4 linked regions of the Caenorhabditis elegans genome follow. The main gene of each other region encodes a partner of the protein of the gene in region 4 in a complex. Each region holds a gene or a part of one and is shown on either strand. Other genes may lie near its edges. The genes, in order: cdc-73, leo-1, pafo-1 and ctr-9.

The links.
Region 1: ctr-9 (region 4) and cdc-73 share a complex: the UniProt entries of both Caenorhabditis elegans proteins name them as parts of the PAF1 complex.
Region 2: ctr-9 (region 4) and leo-1 share a complex: the UniProt entries of both Caenorhabditis elegans proteins name them as parts of the PAF1 complex.
Region 3: ctr-9 (region 4) and pafo-1 share a complex: the UniProt entries of both Caenorhabditis elegans proteins name them as parts of the PAF1 complex.

What each region holds. Positions count from the first base shown.
Region 1 is NC_003282.8:4,040,994-4,048,072, forward strand, and holds cdc-73 (Cell division cycle protein 73), read left to right. Parts: upstream 1-1,581; 5' UTR 1,582-1,585; coding exon 1,586-1,657; intron 1,658-1,710; coding exon 1,711-1,910; intron 1,911-1,955; coding exon 1,956-2,125; intron 2,126-2,726; coding exon 2,727-2,868; intron 2,869-3,734; coding exon 3,735-3,999; intron 4,000-4,401; coding exon 4,402-4,486; intron 4,487-5,025; coding exon 5,026-5,313; intron 5,314-6,164; coding exon 6,165-6,496; 3' UTR 6,497-6,579; downstream 6,580-7,079. Other genes in the region: F35F11.2 (DUF4200 domain-containing protein), read left to right, coding at 1-11, 279-539. UniProt on the Caenorhabditis elegans protein: Component of the PAF1 complex which is a multifunctional complex involved in transcription initiation via genetic interactions with TATA-binding proteins, elongation and transcription-coupled histone modification.
Region 2 is NC_003282.8:11,327,109-11,331,012, reverse strand, and holds leo-1 (RNA polymerase-associated protein LEO1), read left to right. Parts: upstream 1-1,643; coding exon 1,644-1,699; intron 1,700-1,746; coding exon 1,747-2,143; intron 2,144-2,190; coding exon 2,191-2,364; intron 2,365-2,411; coding exon 2,412-2,506; intron 2,507-2,554; coding exon 2,555-2,654; intron 2,655-2,706; coding exon 2,707-3,037; intron 3,038-3,107; coding exon 3,108-3,247; 3' UTR 3,248-3,392; downstream 3,393-3,904. Other genes in the region: sart-3 (Spliceosome associated factor 3, U4/U6 recycling protein), read left to right, coding at 1-181, 229-566, 624-737, 787-1,081, 1,134-1,249; B0035.21 (Kinesin motor domain-containing protein), read right to left, coding at 3,444-3,507, 3,554-3,657. UniProt on the Caenorhabditis elegans protein: Component of the PAF1 complex which is a multifunctional complex involved in transcription initiation via genetic interactions with TATA-binding proteins, elongation and transcription-coupled histone modification.
Region 3 is NC_003283.11:11,519,755-11,523,921, reverse strand, and holds pafo-1 (RNA polymerase II-associated factor 1 homolog), read right to left. Parts: upstream 2,220-4,167; 5' UTR 2,157-2,219; coding exon 2,116-2,156; intron 2,065-2,115; coding exon 1,963-2,064; intron 1,914-1,962; coding exon 1,787-1,913; intron 1,733-1,786; coding exon 1,472-1,732; intron 1,420-1,471; coding exon 810-1,419; intron 754-809; coding exon 617-753; 3' UTR 538-616; downstream 1-537. Other genes in the region: C55A6.11 (uncharacterized protein), read right to left, coding at 2,388-2,495, 2,541-2,966, 3,204-3,290; C55A6.7 (DeHydrogenases, Short chain), read left to right, coding at 3,489-3,617, 3,765-4,167. UniProt on the Caenorhabditis elegans protein: Component of the PAF1 complex which is a multifunctional complex involved in transcription initiation via genetic interactions with TATA-binding proteins, elongation and transcription-coupled histone modification.
Region 4 is NC_003281.10:9,489,801-9,497,586, reverse strand, and holds ctr-9 (RNA polymerase-associated protein CTR9), read right to left. Parts: upstream 5,948-7,786; 5' UTR 5,930-5,947; coding exon 5,858-5,929; intron 5,697-5,857; coding exon of another isoform or gene 5,148-5,696; exon of another isoform or gene 5,069-5,147; intron 5,036-5,068; coding exon 4,085-5,035; intron 3,742-4,084; coding exon 2,800-3,741; intron 2,654-2,799; coding exon 1,414-2,653; intron 1,368-1,413; coding exon 1,215-1,367; intron 811-1,214; coding exon 716-810; 3' UTR 543-715; downstream 1-542. Other genes in the region: sod-4 (Superoxide dismutase [Cu-Zn]), read left to right, coding at 266-411; dars-1 (Aspartate--tRNA ligase, cytoplasmic), read left to right, coding at 6,378-6,473, 6,631-6,783, 6,830-7,573, 7,619-7,755. UniProt on the Caenorhabditis elegans protein: Component of the PAF1 complex which is a multifunctional complex involved in transcription initiation via genetic interactions with TATA-binding proteins, elongation and transcription-coupled histone modification.

The sequences.
Region 1 (7,079 bases), on a different chromosome or scaffold from region 4:
TTATCAACGGTGTAAGTTATTGGGGTGGCGGTGCGGTCGTGCCGCGGTTTTGGTCTGAAAATCGATATTTGATCCGTTGCGGTCGCGCCACTGCTTCAGTTCAAAAAATCTATGCTTAACGCGTTGCGGTTGCTGGGCGGTTTTCGCTAGAAATATCGATTTTCCATGCGCCGCGGTCGCGTTGCGGTACACGTTCAAAAATCAATAATTGATGCGCTGCGGTCGCGTCGCGGTTTCGGCCCCGCCGCCGTCCCCTCTGAAAAGATCAATAATTCCAGATACAACCGATGTATGAACGCTGGCAAGCGGCTCGAAAAGAGATGGCCGCCGTGAAATTCACGACGCATCGTGTAATTCCATCGCCGACCATTTTCGGCAATCTGGCTCACTACGGAATATCGATTTTACGCCAAATACTGTTCTATATGGCATATTGTCGGGATTTGGTGTCGGCCGGCGATCAGCAGAGAAGTGGCTCACCGAAATCGGATTCGACACGTACTTTGAACTCGTTGAACCTCTCGGCCGAAAATAAATGATTGATTTATTGATTTTTTTTATTTTCTGGGAAACTTGCATGAAAATCAAGAATTTTCACATAAAACGCTGAAAAACGCTGCCATCGGGTACGGTATCTCCATTTCTGTGCAAACACCGACTACAGTAACCCAAGGCGTAGAATTTGACGACAAGTTGCAGAAAAACCTCGAAAATAAGGGCAAACGTGGAATTTTCAAAGATAAGCATATAATTTGTGCTGAAATTTTTGAAATATTGTTCATTTTCACGATTTTTGTGCAATTTATGGTCGATTCTAGTGTATTGGGCTAGAGACCCGAAGAACTCGGTGGATGTCCAATTGGGGGGATTACCAACTCGACAGAACCGTGGCTTGCAATACGCCCATTTCTGCAACTGCCGCACGGTTTTAAAACTGTATTTTTCTCAATAGAGCGAGAATTAACAAGAAAAAATAATTTTAAAACCGTGCGGCAGTTGCAGAAATGGGCGTATTGCAAGCCACGGTTCTGTGGGCGGGGCCAATCCCCCGAGTTGGTAATCCCCCCAGTTGGACATCCCCCGAGTTCTTCGGGTCTTGGGCTACTGTGATCGGTGTTTGCACAGAATTCGAGCTACAGTACCACAGAAATAGCAAGATTCAAATTTTCCGTAATTGTTTATCGAACATTTTGCTGCTAATCACAACTTTAATCAAGAAATAAAGTGACAAACACGACTAAATTTTCATTTTCCTCACCTTTTTGTGCATTTCCCAACATTTTCGTAACTTTTTTACACTTTCATGGTTAATACATATTGCTTCAATAAGTTTCTTTCTTCAATTTGACTAGTTGAAAAAATCTCCACGAAATTTGCTACTTTTAAGCCTAAAAATAGGCAGATATCTCAAAATTGTAGATATTCAATTTCAAACTCGCGCTCTTTTCTCGTGGCCGCGGCCTAGAAATCCCGCTCTCTCACTGTTCTCTTCCAGATTTTTTAATTTGAAAAATAATTTATTTCGCCGCGTTTTCCTTCATTTTTCATCGATTTTCCGTCTAATTTTCTGCATTTTTTCAGCAGAATGGACCCATTGGAAGCTCTCCAAAAGCATGTGCAGAGGCCAGAAGAGTTTCCGCTGCGAGAAGTCACCGTGGTAAGTGTTTTAACGATTTTTGTCGATTTTCCAATCATTTTTCTCATTTTCAGAGCGGAATCTCGTATGTGGCGTTCGGCGACTACGCTTATAAGAAAGACACGGAGACTAGCCTCCAAATCTACGGAAAAAGCGATGAATTCTACTCTTTGGAGTCACTGGTCGTATTTCTCAAGTACTCACACGAAAATCACGGAGTTTATGTGAAAGAAGCGGCCGCCGCCGGTGTTCGAGCCGTTACACGTATTGATAGGTAGAAAATATCGATTTTTAGCCGAAAACACGTGTAATTTTTCAGAAAAAATGTGACAGAGTACCTCCAGGGTGACCGCACAGACTTTCCGGCGCTGATGAACCAAGTAAATCCGCTTTCGCTTCGCCAATTGCTCCATTCCTCGGAGCCAGAAGCAAAAAAGCCACGTTTAGACGGTGAAGCCGCCGGCGAGCCAATGGACACGAGCACTTCGGGTTATTTTAAACAAAAATCTGAAAAAAAAACTAATTTCGAGCTAAAAACCTTAAAAATTATCGTTTTTAAGCTAAAAATAAGGATTTTTAGACAAGATATGACTTGAAAATCGATTTTTAAAAGGTTTTAGCTGAAAATAACGATTTTTAAAGCTAAAAACCGACGAATTCTACGCTAAAATCCAAATTTTAGGCTAAATGCTTAATAAAAACCTACTTTCACGCTAAAAGCCCCATTTAAACCCCCAAAAATCCAATTGTGGACTAAAAAACTACAAAATAGTTAATTTAAGCCAAAAAACTGGAAAAAACGTAGTTTAAGCTGAAAATCTGAAGAAAACACCAATTTTGAGCTAAAAACCGAAAGAAAAAACTGTTTTTAAGTTAAAAATTATTGTTTTTAGCTCAAAAACAATTTTAGGTGAACATTTGAATAAAAATCCGATTTTAAGCTTAAAAAAGTATAAAATAGCTCATTTTAAGCCAAAAAGCCTGTAACTACCTTAAAAATAACCGTTTCTAAGCTAAAAATCATGATTTTTAGCAGAAATTTGCTCAAAAATCCCGATTTTTCTCAAAATTAACTCCATTTTTTTCCCAGATGAGCCCCAGGAATCCGCGGTATCCGCTGCAAAGAAAGAAGTCGAAATTCGTGCACTAAATGACAATCTGACAAAGGATAGAATTGCTGAAATGAGAAGAAAACGACAAAGTCATCGAGAAAAAGGAATAGTCACCATTGAGTACGGCAAAAAATTAGGAAAATGGGCTAAAAAGGCCAAATTTATGCTGAAAAATGATGCAAAAATGCAGATTTTAGCCTGAAAACCCGAAAATTTCACGAAATTGCGAATTTCTCAGTTTTCGGTTGAAAAATTGGGAAAATTACGTTGAAAACGTAGTTTTTACCCGAGAAAACCGAAAAACAACAGTAAAAAGCCAATTTTCGATTTAAAACAATTTTAACTGGGAAAAAATATGAAATTCAATTTTTTTTTTTCAAAATTCCCTACTAAAATTCGGATTTTCATATAAAAAACTACGCAAATCACCTAAAAAAACCGAAATTCTACCAGAAAAAAGTGATTTTCAACTCAAAAAATCTTAAATTTATCCCATTTTCATAGAACAGAGCCAATTTTCTCCAAAAACCCGATTTTTGTGCAATTTGTCGTGAATTCCGGTGTTTTGGGTTACTGTAGTCGGTGTTTGCACAGAAATGGGGCTACAGTACTCAAAATAGACATTTTTCTGGGTATTTTCGTTAAAATTTCTGAAAAAATTGTGAAAATTCATTGCAAAAAACGGAAAATCTCGATTTTCTAGGTCAAAATTTTCTTAAAAACTTGTTTAACTCGAAAATTCTTAGAAAACTCCGAATTTCTCATTTTTTGGTTCAAAAAACTACGAAAAGTCGATTTTTAGTTTGAAAATCTCGTAATTTTCTAAATTTTCACCGAAAAGTTTCCAAAAATCGGCCAATTTTTCTTTTAAAAAAAGCCTGAAAAATATAGAATTTTTATGCAAAAAAAATCCGAAAACCCCGATTTTCTAGGACAACATTTCCTCAAAAACCTGATTTTCTGATCAAGAAATTTCAATTTTTCAGTGAATCCCTATCCACACTGACGTCAGCCTCACTTCCGAAGACTCGAATCCACAAAACCCGTGAAAATGTCATGTTGGGAGCTCGAGATTTGTCAAATGTGCTCGATATTATCACTTCAGCCCAACGGCAATGGGATTTAAACGAGAAAAAGGAAAAAGTGGCGGCTGTTCATGCTACGAATCTCTCGAAAGATCAGTCTGGAGCCGCTGGTGGACAACAGCAACGTTCCGGTTATTCTAGATATGCTCAGGAAGCTTTTGCTCATGTAAGGGAGCCCCCTCCCCAAACTATGTGAAAATTTGAGAAAAATTGGTGAAAAATCGATCTTTCTGCTATTTTTCACGCAAAAATTCGGAAAATTTGATCCAAAAATTATGAAATTCGTGAAAACCGGCAATTTTTTCCTAAAAATTCAACATTTTCACCAAAAACCCGCTAAAAATGACGAATTCGGATACTGTAGCCCCGTTTCTGTGCAAACAACAACTACAGTAACCCAAAACACTGGAATTCACGACAAATTGCACAAAACTCAAAAACTGACGTAAAAATGCGATTTTTCACGCAAAAATTCGAAAATTTTGATCCAAATAAATGAAAAATTGAGAAAAGATTCGAATTTCAGTGAAATTATGTCCAAAAATCTACTAAAATTCAATTTTTTCAGGAAAAAACCAAGGAAATTCAAACGGAAGGCTCTTTTATTGGAAGTAATTTCAGCAGTATCAAGCAGGGACATCATGCGGTACAAAGTTCGTAAAATCCGAGAAATTGCAATTTTAAATTCAAAAAAATCAGAAATTTTATAAAATTTGACCCTAAATTCGAAAAACACCGAAAAATTCCCACATTTCGAAACAAAATTGGAAAACTTCATAAATTGACTTAAAATCCGGGTTTTTGTAATATTCTCACCAATTTTGACTGAAAAAACTCGTAAAAAATGCTTTTTTTTTTCATTAAAGTTGATCTGGAAAGCTGAAAATTCGGAAAATTTATGAAATTTTCACTAAAAACCTGTGAAAAACCAATTTGTGCCGGAAAATGTGATTTTTAACACAAAAATTCAGAAATTTTGCTTCAAAATGGAGAATTTCATGAAAAATGACGATTTTGGGTACTGTAGCTCTATCTCTGTGCAAACACCGACTACAGTAACCCAAAACGTCGGATTTGACGACAAATTGCACAGAATTCATAAAATTTGACCTAAAATCTGGGTTTTTTTTCTGAAATTTCTACTAAAAAATGTAAAAAACGCCAATTTTTCACAAAATTTTCAATTTTCCAGAAGCACCCGACGCTCCCCCAGGCCGTCCTCCACTCGCCAAGCCCATCCAGCTTCTGACGTCATCAACTGCCACGTCATCAGGCTCATCAGCAGCTCAAAATGGCTCAAAACGGACGTCTCGCTCCCCGATCATCATCGTTCCGTCGGCAATGAATACGATGATAAATTTGTACAATGTTCGAGATATTCTGCAGAATTTCAGCTATGTTCCTGTTGATCAGCGACGAAAAGAGACGAATAAGAAGCCTGTCGATTTGGCTATTCAACGGCAGAAAAATGGTGTTACTTGTGCGTTTTTTTGGCTGGAAATGCGATTTTTCACGCGAAAATTTGGAAATTTTGACCCAAAAAATGAGAAAAACTAAGATTTGTGCTTGAAAATCTGAATTTATTGGAAAAATTTGAAATTCTTGAGCCAAAAATGCTGAAAATTAAACATTTCGACGAAAAAAACCCCGAAAAATGACGGTTTTGAGTACTGTAGCCCCATTTCTGTGCAATCACCGACTACAGTAACCCAACACATCTGAATTTACGACAAAATTCTGAAAATGGTCAAATCCTTCTCGAAAACTTGCGTTTTGCCTGAAATTTACGATTGTTTACGCGAAAATTCGAATATTTTAACCCAAAAATAATGAAAATCGTAAAATCCACCGGTTTTTGCGCAAAAATGGAAAATGTTGACTTAAAAACTTGAAAAATGAGACGATTTTGGGTACTGTAGCCCCATATCTGTGCGACCACAGACTACAGTAACCCAAAACACCGAAATTTACGACAAATTACACAAAACTTGAAAATAGACTTGAAAATTCGATTTTTCTCGAAAAAGTCCTTTTTAAAGTGATTTAAAATAATTTTAAGCTAAAAAATTGGAAAAATACGCAATTTTTCAAAATTTGTTTGGAAATTTGAGCAAAAAGCGTAAAACCCTGAAATTTCGAGAAAAAAACTGAAATCTTCACCTAACCTTTCGAAAATACTCAATTTTAACCAAACATTTCGAAAAAACTAGACGTTTCAGGCAATATTCGCTGCAAAAATGGTATTTTTTGGGATTTTTAACCGATTTTAAGCTAAAAATTCGAAAAAAAAACAAAAACTCCATTTTAACCTAAAATTTGAAATTGATTCAGACAATATCCGCGTAATCGACAATGCCGAGAAGCTTGCCAATGATGATTGGGATCGTGTGATCGCCGTCTTCGTAATGGGTGTCGCGTGGCAATTCAAAGGCTGGAAATGGAATGGAAATCCGACGGACATCTTCACCCACATTCCTGCATTCCATTTCCACGTCGACCAGGATAAGCCGGTGGCTCAAGTGATGCAGTGGAATGTACACAAGATTCCAGTCTCGGCGACGAAACGGCACATGGATAAGGCTCGATTCAGTCAAGTTTGGGAGACAATCGAGAATTTTGTACGCAAGAACAAGCCACATCTCACCGCCCGTCTTGGACTCTGAAAATTCTCGGAAATTTTCTTTTTTTCTTCATTTTTTGCAAATTTATTTATTCATCACTTTTGATTTTATTAAAAATGCCATTTTTCTTCAAACAATTTTTAATCGAAAATTCAAATTTTTAGCGAAAAAATCATTTTCCACGTGGCGAAATCGTCATTTTTGGAGTGGAGAAAATTCGATTTTCAAGCGGAAAATTGCCCAATTTTCGTCAGTTTTCGTCAGCCAGGCGGCGCGGTCGCGTCGCGGCAACAAATTTTTTAATTCGTGAATTTTCAAGGTAATATTTTGGAGAAAAATTCAAATTTTCCAGTTAAACATTGTTTCGTTTTTTGGCCAAAATTGCCTTCTAGGATTTTCGAAATATTGCTCCATTGGCCACGCGGAGCGGTCGCTTCGCGGCTTTTTTTTTTTTCATGATTACTGGCTCAAAACTAGACACTTTGAATTCCCAAGTTAAATTCATTTGTCAAAATTCTTCAAAAGAGTTCGGGGAGTAGTGCGATTCAGAAAGCAGAAAGTGAGAAAAAAATTAGAGGTATAGCACAAGTATTAGAAATATACCAAAAAATTAGGTGAAAATTAG
Region 2 (3,904 bases), on a different chromosome or scaffold from region 4:
TTGGCTGAGTTGGATTTGGTTCTTGAGAAAGTGAATTCACAGGTTGCTCATCGAGCCATTCGACCACAAAAGAAAGTTTCTGAGAAACCAGCTCCAGCTCCTAAATCAAAGCAAGATCATATTCAGAAGAGAACGTCGGGAGGTGAACCAATTGTAAAAAAAGTGAAAGGAGACGACGGAGGTAAATAATTTTTAAAAGTAAAGAAGTTAATTTGAATTAAATTTTAGGATTCAAAGCTCCACTTCCACCATCCAATGCGAAAAGTTCATCAGCTGTATCCTCTTCAAATGCTTCGTCGACACCAGCTCCAGGTTCCTTTGCAGTTCAGAAAGCAGCTCCAGGAACGGAAGATGCTCGCACAATTTTTGTTTCTAATCTCGATTTCACTACGACGGAAGACGAAATTCGACAAGCCATTGAAGGTGTTGCTTCAATTCGATTCGCAAGAAAAGCGAATTCGGATCTTGTGCACAGAGGGTTCGCCTATGTTGTAATGGAGAATGATCAGAAGGCACAGCAAGCTCTCTTGAAAGATCGAGTTCCTGTGAAGGGAAGGCCAATGTTTGTAAGTTTTAATTTTACTTTATAAATATTTGTGAAATTTTAATTTCTGAAAATTCAGATCTCCGCCAACGATCCAGAAAAACGGGTTGGATTCAAATTCTCAACCACTCTTGAAAAATCGAAAGTCTTCGTTCGCAATGTCCACTTCCAGGCAACCGACGATGAGTTAAAGGTAATATATACTTATCTATCATTTTATATTCTAAATCGATACATTTCAGGCATTATTCTCGAAATTCGGTACAGTAACCAGTGTTCGACGCGTGACTCATAAAGATGGAAAACCAAAAGGAATCGCATTCGTAGATTTTGACACAGAAGCAAGTGCTCAAAAATGTGTTGCTTCTGGTGATAAATTGATGCTTCGAGAAAGAGAACTAGAGGTAGCGTTATCCAATCCACCAGTAAAAAAGGATAAATCGCATGGAAAACCAGCAGCAATTGGAGCAAGTTTGGAAGAAGATGGACCTAGAAAAGGACATGCTGCAAAACTGCAATTGGTTCCCAGAGCTATTAGTAAGTATATCATCTTTAGTTCCCAGCTTAGCATAAAAAAATCCATTTTCAGCAAACAAAACTCCTCAAATCACTGCTCGGCTGGACGCAATGGATGTTTCCGAAGGCACTTCAACGTCTCAGCCACTTTCAAATGATCAATTCCGTAAAATGTTTATGAAAAATTAGGGCCGTTTTTCACCAGAAACTTTCATTGTTCATATCAAGATTCATTTAGTTATTTAATTTCTATTACGTTCCCCAGTGTCTCCTTTCCAATTAAAATTCCGGTAGATGCTATTTTTGATGTTCTCGCTATAATTATATTTGTTCTTCACTACGAATTGCAAGATTTAGTTTCATAACTGTTCATAATCCTTGTTTTCTTTTTGTTTGCTAATAATTTGTAATAGAGATCCCCCAATATTCATTTTCAACTTATTGCCTATGGATAAGAAAATCTGAATTTTCAACAACTACTTTTATTATTCAATTTTTATCGGTATATTCGACCCCAAATTATTACTTTGTTTTGCTACTTTCGCTATTCAAAGAACTTAGGTATGCAATATTTTCAATTCAGATGTCATCTTCTGAGGGTAATTCTGACGCTTCTGCACCAGGAACACCAGTTAAATCGTAAGTAAATGGTAATTGTGTTTCTAAAATAATATAATTCAATTCAGATCAACTCCATCTTCTCGTGGATCGTCGCCAGATTCACCAAAAAAACAAGAACCGTCTAAGAAAAGAGCGATATTAAATGAGTCCGACGATGATGATGATTCTCGTCCTGCTCCTCGACAATTGTCCGATTCTTCTGACGATAACATTCATCCGAGAGGAGGAGGTGAAAAGAGTTCCCCCGGTGCTGGTGGTGGTTTGTTCGGTGATCTCTCTGGCTCTTCCGACGATGATTCCGACAGAGAAGGAAAGCCGAAAGAATCAAATACAAGAGCACGATTGTCAGATTCCGATGCGGAGAGTCGTGGAAGTTTGAATGATTTGCAAGGAATTGTGATGGCTAATCCAGATGAAATAGATGAAGATGAAAAAGCAAAGGAGCATGTTCATGATACTGAAGTAAACATTTTCAATGAAATAATGTGATTAAAACATTGATTTTCCAGATGGTAACAGGTCGTGTTACTTTGGAGTACGCTGCAGATCCACCACATTTTGTCAGAATGCCAAACTTTCTATCAGTCGCCACTCATCCATTTGATCCACAACATTACGAGGAAGACGAAGATGATGAGCAGGCGAAATTGGATGATGAAGGACGAACACGTCTCAAATTGAGAGTATGTCTGTGTTATAAATACATCTCATCAAATATACAATTTTTAAGGTGGAAAATACACTTCGCTGGCGAGTTCGCAAAGATGAAAATGGAAAAGAAATTCGAGAGAGTAATGCAAAAATTGTAAAATGGGACGATGGAACGTTAGTTTTCAATTGATGCAAAATTTCCATATCGTGACTTAATTTCAGAATGTCTCTATACCTCGGAAACGAAATTTTCGAAGTCTCATTGGTGCCGCTGAATTCCAATAATCTTCCCCATCTTTACGTTAAGCAGCCAACATTAATGGTATTTTGATTGTTAATGTTTTTATTTTAATCAAAATTTATGTCATTTTTAGTCGGCTCAAGCTGTTCTTACACATCGTATGACCTTCCGTCCTCACTCGACTGATTCCCAAACTCACAGAAAAGTCACACTCAATATGGCAGATCGAAGCAGGAAGAATGCTCAAGTTAAAGTCATGGACGATGTTGGTCAGAATCCGGAAATTACACGGCGTGAGAATGCCCGGAAGGAGGAAGAATCACTTCGTGCACACATCCGACGTACTCAGATGGTTCGGAATAACTTTAAAGTTCGTGGTCCGAGATATGCAGGACAATATTCTGATGATGAAGATATGCCAACGTCATCCAGAAAAGGAAAGAAGAAGGAAGCACCAATTATTGGTAAGTTCAATTTAATTTTGATTAGGACTTTACCAGAATAAAGAAACTGTACTACAATAATATATTTCAGGTGCCAGCTCAGAAAGTGAGGACGATCATGCGGATACCACAAAGAAAAGCGGATCGGATAGCGATTCTGATGAAGAGTACCGAAAGAGAAAACAACAACAAAAGAAACAGATTGTCACCAGTGACGAAGAATCTGACTAAATTTATTTCAATTTTGATCCTCACAATTTTATATTTCGCGAATTCAATATTTCTCCCTTTACAATATTTCGAAAATGTTTTCCTTTCCTTATTTATTTTAGTCTTCGATATTTCGAGATAATGAAACATCCACAATATTATGAAAAACCGAGCTTTTATTTCTTAATTTCAATCAGATTGTATGTAATATTTAAAATCATACATCCACTACGTCTTCCTCGCTTCTCAAAGAATTGGCATCAAGTGTCGTATCATAAATTCTGAAACTTGAAATAATCTACGATTTCAGAATTCTCAAAATCAAACCTCCGTGTTTTATCGTTTTCCATTGCTCTTGGGGAAATCGATACATTTAATATCAACTGAGCTTCTTCTTGATTTCCAGAGCTTCTCGATCGCAGTAAAAACATCAATATAATGATTTGAAAGAAGATTCCATAAATTAAAATTCGAAAAACTATAGGTTTTGACTTTTGATTCCAGAGTATTTTAAACATCTTTGTGGAAAATGTAGGAAATGATTTTTCACGTTTGATAAAGAAACTGACTAATAAATTTTTACATCTAACAACAAATCTTTGAATCAATCATATTATAATATACACGGAACCACTATGTCCGAAAGATTTAAAATTTAAAAAAATTGAAATTGAAAAA
Region 3 (4,167 bases), on a different chromosome or scaffold from region 4:
GGGCTGGAATTTTGAAATGAATTTCTTTTGGAATACAGTGCTTTTTTTACAACTTCTACGACTTTAAAGGCGCGCGCATTTTCGCGCAATGGTCTCGCCACGCGCATCCCTTTGATTTGTTGAGCGCGTGGCGAGACCAATGACGGGACCATTTTGTATAAATACGCGCGCCTTTAAAGTCGTAGAAGTGGAAAAAAAATGCACTGTAGTTTCGAAAATCTATTGCTACAGTAGTCATTTAAAGAATTACTGTAGTTTTCGCTACGGGATATATTCAATGTTTCGCAATACGCATTCCAATCAGAACGGTAGTTCGAATTTCCCCCAAAACTAAACGTCTTGCCCTCTGATCCTGTTGCTTCCGCATGACAAATCAAAGAATAGAACGTGGAGCACATAAGCGCAAGCAACAGACACCTACACAAACAGAACTTTGCGGGTGTTGGTGTTTCCGCTGTTGGTTTTTTCTTCAATTGTGAGTCAAATCATACTTGCACTTTTAGCGAAGATTCATGAAGATCAATCGAACAAATAGTTGAAATCGTTATCAAGTTTACTGAGAAAAACCAATTTGATTAGGTAAAATAAATAGAAAAACAATTTTAAAAATTTGAGATCAATCACTGTCGCTGTCAACAGTCGGTTCCTTTTTCCGTGGTGAATCGTCATCTGATGAAACGTCCGAAGAGCTATCAGATCGTGATTTCTGCGGCTTGTCGTCATCAGAATCACTGCTCTGATCTGAACTGTCTCCTGAAAAATTGCATGTTCGCGTGGAAAATAACACTTCAAAACTTAAATTTACTCACCACCTTCTTCTTTCTTCTCTTGAATCTTTTCCAGAATCTCTTGTTTTCTGGTCTTTGGCTGTTCGTATAACTCAGCCTCTCTTTTATTCATGTCTTTTTGTTCCAGTTCGGAAGGATTTCGGTATGTGAGTGTCAATTTGGATTTTCTGCTCAATGCCATTTTTGGTTTTCTTGTCATCTTGACATTACAGTCAACTTCGTTGTACTGGAAAACGTTATTACGATGATACATAATGAAGACGTCACGATCCCTTGGTGGCAAGTGTTCCATTTTAAATGTGTATTCACGGCTTAGCAAGAATTCGTACTTCATATCCTCATCAAATGGTCGTTCTAACTCAAGATCATCCATAAAACTCGTAAGACATCCAATCGTTGGAACAAAAACTGCTGCAAATTTTTGATCTTCGAATTCCATGGCTTTAATAACACTGCTCTCCCGTGCTTGTTGTCGTTCATCTTCTTCTTCGAATTCTGTTGTTATAGTGTCTCCATCAAATTGTACATGAGCAAAGAGGTGTTTCCAGTGATCGAAATCAGGGAAGACAAAGCTTTCTTCAACAGCTTTTACACCCTTCTTGGAGTAATGCTCCTTGACGGGTTTACGAACCTAAAATACGCAAAAGTAGATTTAAATCAAAAAAATATATTCTGGTACTTACATCTTCAAATGTCTTGTTAATGGCATCAATTTGACTCTGCTTGTCACGATACATATCTTCAACTTGTTGATTTTTCTTCAAGTTATAACCAAGCTTCGTCTCCTGTCTATCGGCTGTCACACCGAACCGATTGAATTCAGTTGAAATGTACTCGGTTTTTCTCATCCATGGAACAAGTTTAGAATGCTGTTGAGATCGTTTTGCAATCAATTTAGCGGCGCCATCATCTTCCAGTAAAATATTGTCTTTCTCATCAATTTCCTAAAAGTGAAACATTTCTATCTTTGAAACTGTATATTTCAGGAAAAAACCTACAGTTTCGATTGGATCTTCGTCGTATTTTTTTAGATCAATCAAATCGACATTCAAACCCATGTCGTCGTCACAAATGACTGCATGCTTGTAATCTCGATAAATGGCAGCAGGTTGGAATTCGACAAATCTAAATTCAGAGATATTGAACAATGTCAAACGTTTCAAAATTGGTGTACCTTCCCAGAGGAACAAATGGACAAGTCATAAACTTTGCATCAAATGGGACATCAGGAACAGTATTGGTAAATCGAGGTTTCAGCATGAAATCCACTTTTCGTCTGCAAAATGTTTTCAAAACTTTTCTAGCGATTCAAAACAATAATACTTACGGAGGTTCAATCCTTTTGGCATCTGAGGATTCTTGGGGCATTTTTTATAGTAATTTAGTTATAATATTAAGATACCAATCGGCAGAAACGGCTGCAAATCGAAAAAACTAGTCACCGAGGGAATTAAATTCAAACTCTCACACACGGGTTTTGCGCAAGCGCTCAATGCGCGTCAGCAGGGAACAATGGCGCATAACCAGTTTTGCGCGGGTGTTCAAAAAGTATTTTTTGTTTTGTGAATTTCCAGCGTTCTCGTCACGATAATATTTATTTTATGACAAAATGCCATCATTAACATGATAATATTGTAAAAGGGACAATAATGTAAATATAAAGGTGACAATGAATGGTCCAGCAATGTAGAGAGCCAATGCTCCTTTCTGGAAAATTATATAAATGTGGGGTTGTGAACTTTTAAAGCCTACATTATCATGATCATCGTGCATTCCGATACTTTCACGCTGAACAAAGCTAACAGTATTCTCCATTTCAGCATTTAGCTCTTCACTACTTCCAAAGAAAACATCCCACAGCCAAGATCCGAACATTTTTTCCGAATTCCTTTCACAGCAGAGTGTACCATAATAAACTCGATGCTGGTATGTATGAACACATCGTCCCACTTTTTTCTTGTCACATAACTTCATGAATGTTTCCTCGGTTAGATTGAATGGCTTGAGAATTTCCTTCGAAGCACAACCAGAGGCAAATAGAAATGCGTGTTGCTCATTTCGAACGATTTCAGTGAGCATAATTTGTTGAAAGCATGTCTTGAAACCGGAAGTGCAGTTTTTGTACATGAAAGTTCGAAGTTCTTTGTGTCGAGTTCGGGATAAAATTGGGCAGGATACCTTGAATGAAATAATATTTTTACAATTTTCTAGAAAGATCTTATTTTGAAATTGCTCATAACCTACAAAAACATAACAATAGCAAAACAAATTGCGCCTAGTTTTTTGTCTATCTTTTTTTGTCTATCGTTTCTCTTTCATTAAAAATATTTGAAAGAAAATTTCCCAGGGACAACTGGAAAAGCTCAGGAATAGAACCAAGGAAAGTCCTTTATAACATCTCCTGTGTAAACCTACATTCACATTTTCCCCGTTCGCAACCAACACTTGATTGAAGAGCAAAACTGTATTAACCAAAATCGAAATTATCATAGTTTTCTTCATTGTCTAATTCTTTGATCTCTTCTCAGAAATTCCGAAATAAACTAAAAACTGCAATAAACCAAACTAATTATTGTGGCAGTTCATCACGCTGTTTATTTTGCAGAACAGAAGAGAAATACTATTGATAAGAAATAATAATCATCATTCATTGATTTTCGATTTCTGTTAATTCAATTCTATGCTTAAATTCTAGTGAAAATGTCTCCAAAATCAGTTGTGGTAACCGGATCCAATCGAGGATTGGGATTTGGATTAGTTCAACAATTTCTGAAAGATCCAAATGTTCAGCATGTCATTGCGACTGCAAGAGATGTTGATAAGGCAACTGTAAGTTTTTTCGAGTTTATTTATACTTTATCCGTTGCTGAGATTATAGTTATTTGTATTAGGTTTGTGTTCCTAATATTTGTATATGGTAAAAATTTCCCAACAACATGTATTGGACTACGGCATTCTTAATTTCCAATTTTTCAGGCTCTCAAGGGAATTTGTGATCCACGACTTCACATTCTTCAACTCTCACTCGGATCCGATGAATCAATTGCAAATTTTGCTGAAAAAGTGTCTGAAATTGTTGGAGAATCTGGATTAACTCTTCTTATAAATAATGCAGCTGTGATGCTTCCATATGTAACAAAACAAAAACCTGATCGAAAAGTTGTTCTGGATTTGTTTGAGTCAAATACAATTGGTCCAATGATGCTTACACAAAGCCTTGTACCACTCATAATCAAAGCTTCGAAACGACAGGAAGGCGATACACTTTCCGTTTCTCGTGGTGCAATCATTAATATTGCATCCGAATTTCTTGGTTCAATTTCTGAAAATACCAGTGGTTCTGGTGAATATAAAGCAATGGCATATCGAATGACGAAGT
Region 4 (7,786 bases):
TACACTTTTCAACTTTCCGACACTACTTGAATAACTCCATTATGGAAGCTTAAATTTAAAAAAAAACGTAAATTTAACCAAATCGTGAGAAAAACTCACAACAACGAAAATTTCAAATTACAGTGCTTTTTGAAGACCCCAGTTTGTATTTGACAAAACTTTGTCGTGTCGAGACCGGGTACCGTATTTTTGCGTCAAAAATTGCAATTGTTGTGTAATATGCTTCACTTATCTTCAAAACCCCAATAAACGTTAAATTATTCAGGAATTGTGGAAGAACGTATTTTGGAAACAACGACAGCATCCCTTCCTCCAGTTACACAATCTCAACCAATTGGATCTTCTTCTTATTATTATTCTACATTTTATCTTCCAATTATTTTATATTTCTTGCTATCTCGTATTCTTTAATTCGTCCTATTGTTTCATGCTTTCTTTGCTCCCTCCTTCTAGTCCTAAATGCCCTCGCTCCTCACGAAAACTGGTCTCAAATTGTAATCGAAAACTCTGCGACTAACGAAAACGAACTCACAGGTACCATTATTTGTTTGATAAATGAATTCATGTCAAAGATTGAAAGTCTTGGACTCGGTGATTAAAAACGGGAGAATGTATTGTGAGAACGAGCACAAGATGCTAGATTTACAAAGAGTACAAATAAAACATTTGTGAACAACAAAAATAAATAAAAACTTTAAATTTAAAAAAAATTGGTTCAGTCGCTGTCGCTCTCGATAACCTTCTTTTTCGGAGCATCACTTCCATCACTGTCCCTGGAGTTTCCACCAGCAGGTTTATCATCATCATCATCTGAAAATTTCAACATTTTGTATACGATTTTCCGAAAATTTGAAAAAATTTCATTTGTGCGATAATAGTCTAAATTTTAGTACAATTTTGAAATGGTTTGTAATTTTCCTTTAAAAAATTTGTAAGTGTTTTTTTTTCTTTTTTTTTTGCGATTTCAGGTATTTCGAAAAAATGTTTAAAATTTAATATTTTCAAATGTTCCAAACATTGTTTGAAGTTTTTTCCGATTATCACTGAATAAAAACTGAATAAAACTAAAAATCGAAAAATTTTCGTTTTTTGATTAATATTTTTCAAAATAAAAATATTAGTATTTTTTTCGATTTTGAGATATTTGAAATAATCAGGTATTTTCAGAAGGCGACATCCTCGGTTGTCGTTTTTTTTTTCAAATCTATGATTACCATCAGAACCTCCAATAATTGGCTTATCATCATTATCCGATCCAGAGCCAGATCCGGAGACTGATCCTTCATCAGAATCCACAACAGCCTTCTTCTTTTTCTTTTTTGTAGTTGTCTCACGATCACTATCACTGTCAGTTCGGGTTGGACTATCTGCAAAAAATGGAATTTTTTGAAAATCAGAAATCAATAAACTAACCAAACTCATCAACTGGCGGCCGCGGATCAACCTCATCATCCGATGAATCAGCAGCAGGCTTTGGTTTGTCATCATCAGAAGATTCCGATGAAGATAAGAATGCACGAGATTTTATCTTTGCTGATTGTTTTGCTGAGAGCTTCTCCTGTAGTTTTCGATCCCTCTCTTCCTTCCTCTTTCTCTTTTTCTCATCTCTTCTGTTCGAATCAGGTCCACCACTATCTCTACGTTCTCTCTTCTTCCTGGATGCCTTCTTTGCTGCCTTATCCTTCTTCCTTCGTTCTCTTCGTTCACCATCTTCACCTCCTTCCTCTCCATCATAATTTCCAGCATCAGAACTATCATTAACAAACTCATCACCATCATCATTTCGTCGTTTCCGTCCACCACCTCCTCTTCTCTTTTCTTCGACAATTTCTGGAAGTCTGAGAACATCTTTTGTCATTTCTATGAATGATAATCTAAGATTCTTCATATCTTCGAGCTTCTGTTTTTCAGCTTCTTCCTTAGCACGAGCTTCCTCAATCATCTTGTTCTGCAATGCTATCTTCTCTTTCTCTTGCTTCTCCATAAGACGACGTTCTTCTTCATCTTGAGTCTGTGCAGCTGCTAATTTATGCTTTGCTTGAGTTAACAAATCCTTGCAATTTTTAGCTTCTTCTGCGCAGATTGTTCTCGATATTCGCATTCCAGTATGGCTCGATTGACGATCATCATTTTTAGAGATGTATTGGAAAATTTTGTCGGCGAATTTGAGATCATCTATAGCCGCAGTCACTTGTTCTGATGTCATTTTGTGACCTCGAAGTACTTCTTTTGCAGATTTCTTCAATACAATAGCATAGTTAAATTTCAATTGGGTATTATCCAATTGATCAAGCATTGCACATTCAAGTGCTTCCTTGGCTTCATTCAACATATTTGCTCGGTAATAGGCCTTTGCAAGATAGTGTTGCAATGTCGAGTCATTCTCCTTTCGAAATTTTTTCATCGCAGACGAATACATCTGAACAGCAGCCATCCATTGCTCTCGTTCCATGCAAACGTGAGCTATATTGAGCCAGACATCGTAGAATTCACTGGTAGACTCGCGAACTTGACTGAAAACATCTCGAGCATCATTCCAGTTTCTTTTATAAGCAAGCACACATCCGATTCCATTTGCAGCATACATGTTTTTTGGTTGAAGTTTCAATGCTTTTTGATACATTTGGAGAGCTCGGTCAATGTACTTTTTCTCCTGAAACAAAATATTATTAAATTGTTTGAAAATAAAAATTAAATATATTGTTCATTCTTTAATAGTTAAGTACAAAATGGTATCGATTATAAAATTTAATATGAATAAATTTCAGAATGCAAGTGATAAAGCAATAAAAAACCTACATCTTCCTTTTTCCTTGATGGATTGAGAAGCTGCTCGAACCACACATTACCAAGAGCTACCAGCGAGTATGGATCAGGAATTTTGTTGTTGAAAATCTTCGACAAAATGAATTCAAACTTCTTCTGGGCAGGCATCCATTCATTCTTTGCAAAATGAAGATTTCCAATAAGAGTCCAAACAATTGGTGATGCTTGATCAAATTGAACGCCTTGTTTCAACCACAAAGACGATTCATAGACTTGATGACGATCACGAGTGATACATCCAAGACGAAGATATCCATCAATATATCCAGGACATTCTTTCACAATATCCTTGTACATTTGTTCGGCTTCAACAGTACGACAAAGATGCTCCAAGCACAGAGCCAAATTGTAACGAATTGTGAGAAGGTGCGATTTTTCAGGAGCACTTCTACGTTCTAAAAGTAGAGACCCTTCATCAGTATTCAATTGTTCTTCAAGACGTTCTTTAGCTCTTTTGAAGTGATGTTCAGCTTTTTCATATTGCTTCATTGACATATACAAAGCACCGACGTTGTTGAGCATTTCGGGTTGTGGTTGAATACTCTCATTTGTTACAAGCAAGTCGATTGCATTTTCATACAATTCCAGAGATCGTTTTGGATCTGTTGCTTCGAGAAGTTGAGCCAAGTCGATGCATGCTTCATAGTCATCATTTTCAACTGCCAGATATTTTCCAAGAACATCCCGTCCCTTTTGCCGTGCTTCTGCTGTTTGTGCCGGATCGTTTAGCTGAACATGAGCATATAGACTTCCAAGAATTTTCATCGTGTCTGTATTGTTTGGCAATCGTTTATGAACAGTATCGAAGCATTTGATTGCTTCTTCAATTTCATTTCGATGAATGTACATTTGACCAAGTCCATAGTGAGCAAGGGTGTGCTCTCCATTGTTTGCTTGTCGAGCTTGGTAGTAGTACTGAAAGTAGGATTTTACACGTATAATATTCCAAAATGGCCAAAACACAAAAATTTTAGGTAGATTTTTGAATATTTTCAGTCGAAGCTTTCGTAAATTGGAAAAATATGAAACTTAAAAAAAAAGGACTTTTTGAGAATTTAGAGCAATGTCTTTCGAGACACGAAATAAGAAAATTTCAAAATTCTAGAATATTTCCGTGCATTTTTTCTGAAGCTTTTTTTAACATAAAAATCATTTGATTTTTCGATTGCTTTCAGGATTCAATGACAAAATTCCGGGGTTTCTTTCGAGTTTTTAATTTTATATTTTTAGTTTATGATTTGAAAACTCAAAAACAAACCTTATAAGCACCGTCAAATTGCCCTTGTGCATGCCTGCATCTTCCCATTTGATAGAAAGCTTCAGCTTTTATCGAATCACAATCATTATACGTTGCTGCATGCCAGGCAAGTGTCCATGCACGCTCAATTTCTTTTTTGAAAAAGAAATGATTAGCAAGATGAATAAGAGCAACTGGATGATCAGTTTGTAAATTATAAGATCTTCCAAACAAACTGACTGCGTGTTTGAGGCTGTCATGGTCGTACGTGTTCAACAGAATAATTCCCAAACCACACATGGCCGATACATTATATGGTTCAATTTCCATGGCTCTTTCGAATGCCGTTTTCGCTTTGTCCATCATTCCCATTTTAGCGAAGCAGTGACCGATTCCGACTCGAAGATCTGCGATTGTGTGACGACATTGTCGAATTGCTTTTCGAAAGTAATAGATTGCAGTTTTATAATCCTTTTTATTGAATGCGATTACAGCTTTTCCAATCAACGGGAGCACATTCTTCGGATTGGTTTTAACGACATAATTGAATTGTTGATCAGCAAGTTCATACTTGTTTGTACTTTTATCTCGTTCAAAAAGATAAAACCAAGCACGAACTGTCAAGTGAGACCATTCATACATCGCAATTTTATCGGCTGTGTTGAAAAGAACTGTAGCTTTCGAGAAGAAATCACTTTTCTTGTCCTTGGCCTTCTCTCTGTAACCTTGAGTCATCCAGTAGGCAGCAAGTATATCCAATGCTCTCATTTGATCCTGTTTTACTCCTTCATACTCCAATCCAGCACGAGATCCAGCAGATTCTAGAATCATCATGAATAGATCAACACGATCTTGTCTGTAATATTCGAGAGCAACTTCAATCCAATACGATAACTTTGCTTCTTCTGCTTCCAAAATTTGAAGGACTTCTTCGCCATCGGGGAGCTCGGAGCAGTTGATTTCAATTACTTCCTGAATAAGTTTTTCATTATTTGATTCAGAAAATTAATTTTTCAAGATTTTATTTCACGAACAAACATAAAAAACGTTTTTTTTAAACAATATAATATTTAATAAAAATCGATCATTGTGCTTCGGAGGCCACTAATGCGAATAATTTGGAAAGAAGGGCGACATCAACAAATGGTTCATGTTTAAATGTGAGAAGGACAAGAGTAAATACGTCCCGGCTGTCATTTTGAGCGAAATCGAAGAGCACGTCTTGCTTCACTTTCAATTCTTTCTTAAGCATTGTAATTATTAACGGCAAATTCTCGTCAAGGGTCTCCACAATGTACTTTTCTTCAATATTTTGACTTTTTTCGGTCAATTGCTTCCAAGCTGACATTCGTCCTTGTGCAACTTCGAATTTTCCAATAACTTTCTCAAAATCACTCATAGTTTGATTCAGTTTTGAATTCATAACAACAATCTCATTGAGAACACGATCAGATTGATCTTTTGTTAGTTTTGCAGACTCCTCTACATCAACTTCTCGCGAATATAGCAGTTTCAGACGTGAATTAACTAATGATTCCAAATATTGGACTGATTTTTCAGAAGCTGTCGCCCAGTTTTGCATTAAATTCCAGACTTCGATTGAGAAACGGCGGAGACGTTTTAAGTGCGTACCCTGAAATTCAAAAATATCGATAAATCAAGTCGGTTGGCTGAAATAAATTCGAAATTTGAAAGTCCTACCGACATGATGAATCAATATTCCCAAATTTCCTCACTAAGAAACAACAACGATCGATTTTTGAAATTATGAACACTTTTGAAACAAAAACTTACATCTTCGTGACTGTCTTTCAATGGAATAGCGATTGTTCTGGTCTCTTGCACATCATCAATACTTTCGTCCATCTCCTTGGACTTTCTGACCTGTAAAAAACACAAATTAGATCTTTCTTGACAAATATTCAAGTAATAGTACCCAAGATTGGGAATTTTAAAGATTAAACGTGGTAGTAGACTTTCCAAGCGCTGATGCAGAATAAATCATGGATTTATGATAAACTCACTTTAATTCTTACAAAAAGAATAAGCAAATGAATAAAATATAAAGATTAAATAACGTTTAACTTTGAAATTCAAGAAGAAATTGAGAAAAACAGGATGCAAAAAATATCTTTTCGAACGAGGCGCGATGCGCGTGAAGTGTAACGCATTGTACGCAGAGAGCACAAACATCAGAACTGACGCGCATACACACTTCATCATTTTCAGCCCAAATTGTAAACAAATTCCTTATTTTCAAGCTAAAATTTAATTTTTCATTGGTTTTATAGATGCTAATTTGTTTCAGGTGATAATGGCTGATGCTGCCGAAGGTGAACAACCAAAACTCTCCAAGAAGGAGCTCAATAAGCTTGCTAGAAAAGCTAAGAAAGATGAGAAAGCTGGAGAGGTGAGATTTTGTTAACTATGCTCGTTAAAATAGGGTTTAGTCTAAATTTATAGAGTTATTGAAAATTCTGTTGAGCTATTTATTTTTAAAGTAAATAATTTTCTATAACCTCAAATGCTATTTTGAAATATTTCGCAACTAAGCAATATAAATTCAGAAAGGAGGAAACCAACAACAGGCTGCCGCTATGGACCAAGAAGACGCATCCAAAGACTTTTATGGATCATATGGGCTTGTTAACTCTAAGGAAAAGAAGGTGTTGAACTTTCTGAAAGTCAAGGAGATCAACGTTTCCAACGCAACAAAAGACGTGAGTTTTAACAGAGGATATGCTCATCTTATTCACATTTTTGTAGGTTTGGGTCCGTGGGCGCATTCACACTACTCGATCGAAGGGAAAGAATTGCTTCCTCGTTCTCCGTCAGGGAGTCTACACCGTTCAAGTAGCAATGTTTATGAACGAAAAGATTAGCAAGCAAATGTTGAAGTTTGTTTCTTCTATCTCAAAGGAGTCTATTGTTGACGTTTATGCTACTATCAACAAGGTTGACAATCCAATTGAATCTTGCACACAAAAGGATGTCGAACTACTTGCTCAACAAGTATTTGTCGTTTCAACTTCTGCTCCAAAGCTTCCGCTCCAAATTGAGGATGCATCACGCAGAGCACCAACTGACGAAGAGAAAGCCAGCGAGCAGGAGAATCAATTGGCTGTTGTTAATCTCGATACAAGACTTGACAACCGTGTCATCGATCTTCGTACGCCAACCTCTCATGCTATCTTCAGAATTCAAGCCGGAATTTGTAATCAGTTCAGAAACATTCTCGATGTTAGAGGATTCGTGGAGATCATGGCTCCAAAAATTATCTCTGCGCCAAGTGAGGGTGGAGCCAATGTTTTCGAAGTTTCCTATTTCAAAGGATCCGCCTACTTGGCTCAATCTCCACAACTCTATAAGCAAATGGCTATTGCCGGAGATTTTGAAAAGGTCTACACTATTGGTCCAGTATTCCGTGCTGAAGATTCTAACACCCATCGTCATATGACCGAGTTCGTTGGACTTGACTTGGAAATGGCCTTCAACTTCCATTATCACGAGGTTTGTAATTATAGACTAACATTTTAATAAAATTTCGTTTTTCAGGTTATGGAAACCATTGCAGAAGTGCTCACCCAGATGTTCAAAGGTCTTCAACAAAACTATCAAGATGAGATCGCAGCCGTTGGAAATCAATATCCAGCTGAGCCATTCCAGTTCTGCGAGCCACCACTTATTTTAAAGTAGGAAATTTTTACCATTTTATTAGATTAT